2 linked regions of the Drosophila melanogaster genome follow. The protein of the gene in region 1 purifies or fractionates together with the protein of each later gene. This does not show direct contact. Each region holds a gene or a part of one and is shown in the gene's direction. Other genes may lie near its edges.

The links. The genes of interacting proteins can lie anywhere in the genome.
Region 2: the proteins of nocte (region 1) and Tet purify together in Drosophila melanogaster (affinity purification with mass spectrometry, with the first as the bait; one large-scale study listed by BioGRID). This does not show direct contact.

Annotation. Positions count from the first base shown.
Region 1 is NC_004354.4:10,471,652-10,476,472, reverse strand, and holds the start of nocte (no circadian temperature entrainment), read left to right. Parts: upstream 1-1,797; 5' UTR 1,798-2,420; exon of another isoform or gene 2,421-2,535; intron 2,536-2,885; exon of another isoform or gene 2,886-3,304; intron 3,305-4,329; 5' UTR 4,330-4,503; coding exon 4,504-4,593; intron 4,594-4,689; coding exon 4,690-4,821. Other genes in the region: CG2889 (uncharacterized protein), read right to left, coding at 78-290, 348-792, 851-1,271, 1,333-1,455.
Region 2 is NT_037436.4:2,876,158-2,880,961, reverse strand, and holds the start of Tet (Ten-Eleven translocation (TET) family protein), read left to right. Parts: upstream 1-1,803; 5' UTR 1,804-2,429; intron 2,430-4,804. UniProt on the Drosophila melanogaster protein: Dioxygenase that specifically demethylates DNA methylated on the 6th position of adenine (N(6)-methyladenosine) DNA.

The DNA of each region.
Region 1 (4,821 bases):
GTGGAATGAATAAAGATTACTAATTCAAATATGGGGCAAGAATTCCAATTCGATCAGAGACCCTGCTCTATTCTCACCTTTTGCAGCAGATCTCGCAGGTGTGCTCCAGTTGATCGGTGTCGTGCTTGGCCAGATGATTGGCCATACGGCGCTCGCTGCTGAAGGTGCGTTCGCACTTGGGGCACGGGAACTTGAGCACCTTGCCGATTTGAGCCACCTTGTTGTGCACCGTCTCGATATGAGTGGCCAAGTAGTCCTGCGAGTTGAGCGACTTCTTGCAAATGGTGCAGCTATGGGATTTTAAAGTCTATGTAGCAACAGACAGAACCCTCGGGCTTCAAACTCACGTAAATAGCTTGGGGTTGATATGTTTGCGGATGTGGTCCATCAGCTTGGAAGCGCGTGTAAAGACTTTGCCGCAGCACTTGATGTAGTACTCGCGCTGGTGCACCTCCAGGAAGTGGGTCTTCAATTCGGATAGGTAGGGAGCACTAAATTCGCACAGGTCGCAGCTTGCACTCATGTAGCTAGCAATGGCCTTCTCGTAGCTCTTGGCCAGCTGAGCACGGGAGCAGCCCTTGGGCTTGCGCTCGAGAACGGCCTGTAGCTCGGACTCCTGCGACTCGGTGGTTGTTCGCTGGTCAGGTGCCTTCCTGCGCCGACGCTTGCCACCATCGTCGAGCAGATCTGCAAGCTCCTGCTGCAGCGATATCGGACCCTGATCCTTGGAGGAACGTGCCGAGGTTTTGCGCTTGGGCTTCATTTTCGATTTCAGACGGACCAGGGGTTCATCTGCAATGGAACAGGAACTTAGTTACGGCTAATCCTTGGGAAACATTAAGATAATAACCATCTGAGGAGTCAGATTCAGATTCCGGCTGCCCCTCGGTCACCTCCGGTTCGCTATCACTAGCTTGCAGGCAGGGCTTCTCGTCCTCCTCCTCCTCGCAGGGCAGCTGCTCCTTGATCGGTTCCCTGACTTCCACACTGTCCACATTCACGTCCAGCACGCTTCCCAGCAGACTAAGGTTGTGCAGGTCCAACGGTTTCTCGTCCATGTCGCCAGCCGCCAGCGGCAGTTCGTCGATGTTGACGTCCACGTCCACACCGCCCGTCCACTTCATGGCCGCACAGTCGACGTCCACGGTAAGGAACTCCTTCTTGAGTGAGCACTGCTTCTGCTCCACCAGCTGCCAGAAGCCATTGAAGTCCTCCAGATGCTCACAGCACTCGGTACAGACGCTGGTCGAGATGCCGTCGTCTGGTAGGATCTGCATGGGATGGCTTATTGGAATTGTTTTGATACCATTGGTATTTGCCAGATACACTCACCTCCAGCTGCAGAAACTTCGCAATCATCTTGACCAGGCGCGTCTCCGCAAGCGTATCGTCCGTCTCAAAGAGGAAGACAGCGCTTCCGGGACTAAGACATCGCAGGCAAAGGCGACAAATCATTTCGCGCGAACAGAACCACAACGCAAAGTCAAATAAATAAAAAATTTAAACAGTTTTTCGTTGTAAACAACATAATTCACCTATCGTGAATCGATAACAGAATCCAATTGTGAATGGCAAAACTTCATCTCAGGAGTTTTTTGCGGGGTGGCCACCCTGATCGTTGAGTATTTCTCTTTAATTTCTCTTACAATTTATGGTCTACGTTTTTAATTGTCTGCAAAATACGCTGTAAACGATTATCCATTAATTAAAAATCGAAAATATGAAACTTAATATATCGCTGGATACACATCAAAACGATGGCATTCTGCGGACGGTCAGGCAGCACGCCAATCGACCCACACAACTCTGGCAACGCTTGCCGTAAAATGGCAAAAAAATAATACATACGATTTAAAACTAATGGACAATTACGTATTACGTGAAAAGAACGCAACGCAAATAATCAAAACAAATAAGAAACGCAACTCGTGTGCGTGTGTAGTGTGTGTGCAGAGCTAAAACCTAGCGAAGGAAAGGCAAAAACCCGTGGAAAAAGCGAATTCAAACGGGTTTACTCGAAGCCTCCTCACCCGATACCATTTTCCACCTACACTTGCAAAAAAGCGACAGCGCGCGAGAGGGACGGCGCGAGTGAGCGGAGAGTGGGAGAGCGCAGTGCAAGTGAGTGGGAGCGAGAGCGCTGACAAAGCCAGCGCAACATAGCGAAAATCGCAACCAAATCGAAATCGAAATTCAACCAAATCGAAGATTCTGGCGAACAAAGGCGACTAACAACAACAACTGCAGCAGCGGCACGTCTCGTCTTGGTTGCGCTCTCTTTTGTTTTCGTCCCGTGTTTTAACAAGCGGCGAAACGGGCGCTGAGTAAGCGCCAGAAAGAGTGCAAAAAAAAGGCGAAGGAAAGAAAGAAGCCAAGGAGCAACGAACTGTGTTTGCGGTGTGTGCTCTGCGTGCGAAAGGGTAAGCTCTATGGTCTCTCATGCTCTCGCTCTGGAAGTAGGCCGGAACCGAGATTTGTTTGCTAAATTATGTTTAATTGCACAGCGGGTTTGTAAATCTGTGATTTTGTTTGTAGAAAATACGCATTGTATCAAAGAAATATTTTTGTCGGTTCTGTCAAATTCGACGTGTGGGAGTGGGAGGGAAGTTCAGCTAGTCATGTTGTCCCGCTCTATATCGCAAACAGCGTTGCATTTGTCGTCGGCAGGTCATCGTGGTCCGTTTTCTCTTTTTGTCGGCATCGATGCATAGAGTCCGTGTTAATTTCCGTTTAATCGCTAAATAGCACGCTCTCTAATTGTTTAATAATTGCCAGGCGACTGCCACCCCCGGAATTAGTTTCACTCGGCGGTCTGGCTGGATCCCAACGGACCAGGTGGCAACGCCGCGCTCCACACCACTCACGCACGCAATACATTCGAAAAGTGAGAAGTGGTAGAGGAAGAACTCGAGGAAGAAGAATTAGCGGCAAACTTTATGTTGGACGGTGAAAAGCAGAATCAAAAGATATCAATTTCCGCGAAGTTAACAGTTAAATAACCAACATACAGGCGGCCAAGTGTGCCAGCAGACCGCGAAACATTCGAAGTAAACAAATTCAAGCGTTTTCCATTCAGTTTATCATCGCTGCCCAACAAACGAAACTCCCCGAGTGTATTGCTGTGTGCGTGCGTGCTGTTTAAACGGTATATTTTACTCGTCTCTCCTCTTTGTTTGCCTTTGCCAGCCACTGTGCCATGCAAAATTAATAAAAGGATACGGCTGTAAAACAAAAGGTGGTCAAAAAAAAAAATTGCACTCGTCGATTAAATAATAACTATCAAATCCTCTCGGTTTCTGCGAACGTAAGTGTGTGTGTGTGCGTGATGTGTGCGCCTGTGCCTGCGTGGTGTTAGTGTGCGTTGTGCTTGTGAATGGTTGTTATTACAAAAAGGAGACATAGAATTGTTGCCAAGCGTTTAGATTGTCTTGTACTCCCCCCACTTGCATCTGTCAAATTGGTTACATTTTAAATGCCGGCCTTTGTTGTTGTCGCTCTTGTTGCGAGGATTTTACTGGCCCCGTTTTTTCTATTGTTGCTGTAGTTGTCAGCCATTGTTCGGCCGCCCCTTCACGCCCCCTGCCGCAATTATTACAAGACGCCACCGCAAAAAATTCTTTCAATGCGTTGCCGCTTCTGCCGCTGCTGGCGCTGGTGTGTGTGTGTGGGTAAATCTATCTAGCTGTCCCGCTTCCGCTGTCACCCGCCCAAGGCAGCCTCTCAGTTGCGTGTGCTGCGAGGCACTGGCTGTCCTGCTCGCACCAAACATTGCCTGCATTCAGTGTCGGATCAAAGGGGGGAGCGAAACTGGGAAATAGTTGCCCCAAACGTTTTCGTAATAAACGCAATATCAACAAAATACCAAATGATTCTACAAACAGTTTCGAATGGTAGTAGTCGAATGGAATTACACTCTAGTTGTTACTTTAACGAAGCATTAAGAACTTGAACGTATTTCGCAACAGCATGTGTTGGAAAACTACCAAGAAACTTCTTTAGTTTCAGTGGAAATGAAATATCAAAAGCATTTCTACTAAAACTCGGTTTAGTTGAAACCCATACCTATTATTGTTTGAAGAGGTTATTTTCCAAATTATTTGCAATATCTTTCTAAGAAGAACCAATTTTCGCTACAGATCCACCTCTGTAAGCGTTAGTGGTGCGGATCGGTTGGGGGTGGCTAAATAGAGGAGTTCCCGGACACACAATAACCAGCGTGTTGAAAACAATTTGTCGGGAGCACCACCCACTTGCAACTGACTAGCCTCGCCTCGCTACGCCTGCACCTATACTCAATTAAATGCCTATCTACGCTTTTGTATTTTGCAGCCCACCAGAAAGACTGAAACAAGGAGCTTCGGCCCAAAAGCGATCCCAGCTCCTTAAACTCATTCTCGTCAAGAACCACAGCCACATCCTAGCCCATCCTCCAGCGCAGCGGGAAGACGAGGAGCGCGGCGGTGGCGAGAAGGAAGCTAACGCTAATGAGGATCTATTGGCAGCATGAGTACACTGGGGGGAAGTAGGGGAGAGCGAAATGCCAAGCCCAAATTCACAGCGTTAGATATAAATCGCATGTACAAGAATAGCCGCGTAAGTAGCGAGCCCCTAGACCTAGATCTAGATCTACATCTAGATCTTGATAGATCCAAACCTATCTGATCGCCAACTTGTTCTTATTGTTTGCAGGGCGAGTCAAGTGAACCATCTGCACAAAAGAATCAAGTGCCACGTAAACATGGAATGCAAATCTTGGGCAAAGTGCCGTCCGCTAGGCGACCACCAGCCAATTTGCCATCCCTGAAGGCCGAGACCCACACC
Region 2 (4,804 bases), on another chromosome or scaffold:
TTTTTTAATATTTTATTTTTCTATTCATGTTCTGTGCGCACATTTCATTCATTTTTCAAATACTTCTGCAGCACCAACTGTCAGATACATTTCTGGTTTCCTTTGCCGCACGTCTTTTTATTGTGGCTGCTTGCAGTGTGAATGTCCTTTGCTGTCCTCACAAAGGACACGCAAAAGCCAAATAAGAGCGAAAAAAGTAGAAAAAAACGCAAAGAGCGGAATGCAGAAGAACGAAGAGAGACTTGCAGCAGCTTCGAGTGCAGAAAACCCAACTATGAAGAACTTGTCTGCGGATCGTGAACTTAAGAACTATCTAAGAGGAGAAAAGGCCGGCTGCATTTTGTTGTTTGTGCAGATGTTTCTTCGAGGTTCCTCGAGGGATTTTATGGGTATGCGTTGCGTATGGGACAGGTCAGTGTTCGGAGGATTCGGATTCAGATTGAGATTCGGTTCCGGAGGATTCGAAGTCGGTTAAGGGTTGTGCCCCTAGGTTGAATGATTTTCCATTACGCAATGCAAATAGACAGCAGCGTTCCGCGTACTCGCTTTGTTTTGTTATTTTCTCTGTCAGCGCCAGGCAACAATGCAACTGTCAAGGTTTCCATTTTCCGCCGTGGATTGCTCTCTATGAAATGGCGAAAAAATGGCAGCTCCACTAATAGTTGGCATGAAACGAGGTTGCAACAGGACCGCCACGAGAAAAAAGTGAAATGAAATCAACCGCCCCCGCTCTTTGCGCAAAAGTAAAAAAGGGGCAAAACATGGCAGGCAAATTGTACCAAAATCCCGCAACGGCAGCCAGTGCAATGCCAGGATATATGGCACATGCCCACAAGGTCCTGCCTCCGTGTCCTGCGTCCAGCGCAGCAGTGGCAGCAACAGCACCGCAGCAACGTCCACGGCACCGCAGCAACAGCAGCGGGAAAGTAAAACTTATTCGGCTGGTCGAACTGCGAATGCCCTGAATTTCGAAACACATTTTGCGAGCTTATCTATTCTGATAAAATTGTAAATAAATCAATAAACTATACGCCAATTACCATATAATGCATGCTTGAATTCAATGTGCTTAATTGCTAAGTAAGCTAAGTAAGCTCCTTGGTTAGGGTATCAAAACAAAGGCAGCAGAAAATATCTCGTAGCGCACATAGATTGCAAGTTCGCATTGTGAGCGCGAAACTAGGGAAAAAAATTTTTAATTGGAACAACAACTGTACAGCGGCGCAGCAGCAGCAACAACAACAAAAGCGCACTTCAAACGCCGCATGTTCGTATCCGTGTCTTGTTGCAGCTGTGTGTGTGTGTGTGTGTGCTTGTGTGTTAATGAAAGAGAGAGGATGCAGCCGTAAATGTAACTGTGTGCGTGCGGCTGTGTGTTTGTGTGTGTGTGCCAGGACTCTCGAGCCAAAAGTTGCAGGCGCAACAGCAACAAGCAGCAGTTCGAAGTTAAATATTTAAGAATTTACAAAACTTTTTAGGGAACATAAAAATAAATACAAATTTCAAAACGAAAGAATCTTGCTCTTCATCTTTTAATGATGGTCAAACTGAAAAATAATATATTTTACGAATGACTAATAAGCACAAAAATAAATTAAAAATCATTTCTTAAAAATGCTTAAGTATTGAATGAATTATACAATATAAAACCGCTAGTTAAGAGAATTCGGTCGTCATGCTTGTTGTATTCTTAAGTTCGAGTGGAGCCCGCATTGGTTCGATGCGAACATGAACCTGTTCGCTTCGAGCACGAACTTGTTCGATACATTTTATGTTTGCTCCTTCATTTTCATTTTCATTTTCAGTTCAGTTAGTTCAGTTGTTGTGTATCCTTCGGGTGAAAAGTTTCCTACAAAACACGGACTTTTGCACCGCCGCCGCCGTTCGAGCGCTAGAAACGAGTGCGAGTGCGTGTGAGACTTACTAGCTAACTAACTGATTCTGATTCTGATTTTCGGGAATATACTATCCCTTCGGTGTGGGTGTGATCGAGTTCAAGGACTCGCGACTAACTTGTTCCAGTTTCGAAAACAGGCAGCCCCAAATAATGTGACCAATGTGACCAGTGAATTAGAATATCCAAGAGCAAAACAAAATCAAGAACTCCCGCAGATGCCGCACTTGCAGCTCCAAGTTCTTCAGCTTTTCATCCAAGTCCCGGTTTAATTTGCAGCTCCAGTTTCGCGCTCGGTTCTCTGGGTTTCCCTGCAATTTCCGCGATTTCCTTCTTTTGTTCCCTTCGTTCCGTTTTCGCGTCGCGGTTTGTTATTGTCAACTTTCGTTTTCGTGCGGTTTTTCGCGGCTTTTCTAACGGTCCAACGACGGTCGGCAAATGGATAGTGAAACTGGCTTGGATTTCCAATAGCTTCTAAGTACTCAACATTTTCCGAGGAAAAAAACTCGTGAAAGGACATGGATTAACAACTAAGGTTTGTAGTAGGGATTTAACAATATACATATATTTAAGTATATATAAATCGGGATGCTTTATGTATACCTTTTATCTATATATAACTATTCTGCGTATATAATCATTTTATTTGTGGTACCAAAGAAAATTAAATAAATGGTTTTTTTTTTTCATTAATTAAGCATAGCCATCAAACAAAAAGACAAATAGCCGCATACAGAACATAACTAACTCTTTGAAAACGAATCGTAAGGAACGTTTCCAAGAAACCAAACAGAATGGCCATATCCCTTTCATAAAACCGACTCCAATTAATAAAGCCAATTGAGCAAATGTATAAAAATGTTGAGCTCCAATCAAATATAAAACTCTACGCTTTTGTTCCTAATCCCTCAATTAAACTCACCTCTCGACCGAAAGCCAAAGAAAAACAAATTTCCAATTGAAATTTGCATTTGGGGCACAGGAAATACTTTCCAAGCGTAAACATGTAAACAAAGAGATAACAATTGTTATTGGTCATCCGAGGATCAAATTACAATAAGTGCAAGCTCAAAGAAGACCCAAAAAACAAAATCACAATCACCTAAGCAGGCAATTTCAGCGAGCTTTATTTGTGCAAGACAAATAAACAAAATAAAATAATAATATTACAGTAAAGGCAGAGGCTTCTCTTTTTGGACCGCAAACACTTATGGCAATGAGTAATGACTTTTAAAAGAAGAACTGTTTCTGATAGATACATTTTGCGTTTGTCTTAGCGCCAACTTAAATTAAAAAGCAGCGGGCTCTGAACTTCTTCTGGTTGTGAAGAGTTGAGCCGAGGCCCTGAAAACGTGCCAGAAAGCGACACACAGAGATACAAAGATACAGATACTCGTAACTAACAGTAACGTGCGTACATCTTCAAGATACTTTTTGGCGCGCTCAGAACAGAAGCGCCGAAAACAGAAAATAAAACAAGGAGAGTACATGGGAACGAGAAGCACAACAGAAAGCGAAAAGCTAAGAACACAGAAGGAGATACTTGTGCTCCTACAAGATACAGCTACAGATACAGATACATGGCAATAAAGAGAATTTAAAGAAAGATAAATAATAAAACCAAACAAATTGAGGCGCAGGCCGCGAAAGAAGTTCAAGTTCAGCGAATGTATCTCCGTGCCAGTATCTGTATCTGTTGGATGCAATTTGTCGGCCGCCTGCAAGTTTATTACCGTCTTACCCCCAATGAATCTATATATAGCTGCCATATTTTGTTTACAATTTTCCGCCGCCCACGATTCATTCATAAAACACATCAGCCCAAAATAAAAGTTGGCAAAAGGACACGCAGGCAAATTAAGGCTTTGACCTAGAGAAAAATAAACAACACCCAGGATATAACCCCTGCCCCCGTCCTCCCCCCCTCCACACACTCGTTAACAGTAACGTGCGTGACTTTGAAAGCAGGCAAGGCAAATGACAAACTCGTAAATCTCAACACACTCACGGGAAGTGGGTGGTGCGTTTTTTTTTTTGGGATGTGGGTGAAAATGCGAGGCATAAGTGCCCCTACTCCCATTCATATACGCTTAATACTCAGCCGCGTATGCCTGTCCATGGACTCCTTGCATGGCTTCATTGGGCCCCACAGCACGTTTCATTTCATCCACACCTGCACCGCCGCACCACTCCGCGCACAACCCATCCCCACACCCAAACACCCAAACACCAATACCGCCAAGCTTCGGCACAACTCAATTTGCACGTGACACAACGAGGAACGAGATGTGGAGCAGGCACTGCCAGGCGAATTAACTCGCGTCAGGAATTTAAAGAAAATATCTTTCAGATACTATATATATTTTTAAGCATTCAAGTTCTAAGCTAGAACGAAAAAATGTTATATGAGAGCTTGAAATTAAGTTTTCGTATTAATATTCGCCATCATTTATAATATTGTAATAACTTGCCTTTAAGAAATTCAAACAGAGAACCGACAGAGAATAGTCGCTTAACTAAAAACAATTTTATTGCATTTGATGGCTTGATAAACAGCTTTCACTAAATTGCCTGCGTTCCATAGTATTTGTCTTGACTTTCAAGCTACCTTCCGCACAATATAAACTCGATTAAGTACATCCACCACCTTCGCAAGGAATGCAATTTCAGCCGTCTAGTTCGTATCATTAACATAAAATGAAATAATTTCCCCACCCATTTGCCAGTTTGTGGGGCTTCTTGAAATGCTACCCGGCCGAAATGATGCACCCCACCGAAAGTGGAATGGAATTTTATTCATTAACTTGCTGCGCTGCACATTTGGCAATTGTATAACATGCATAAATATGCAAACTTATTATGGCCCGAAAAATAGTTTCGCAATAGCGCAGTGCTGGGGAAAAATGTTAA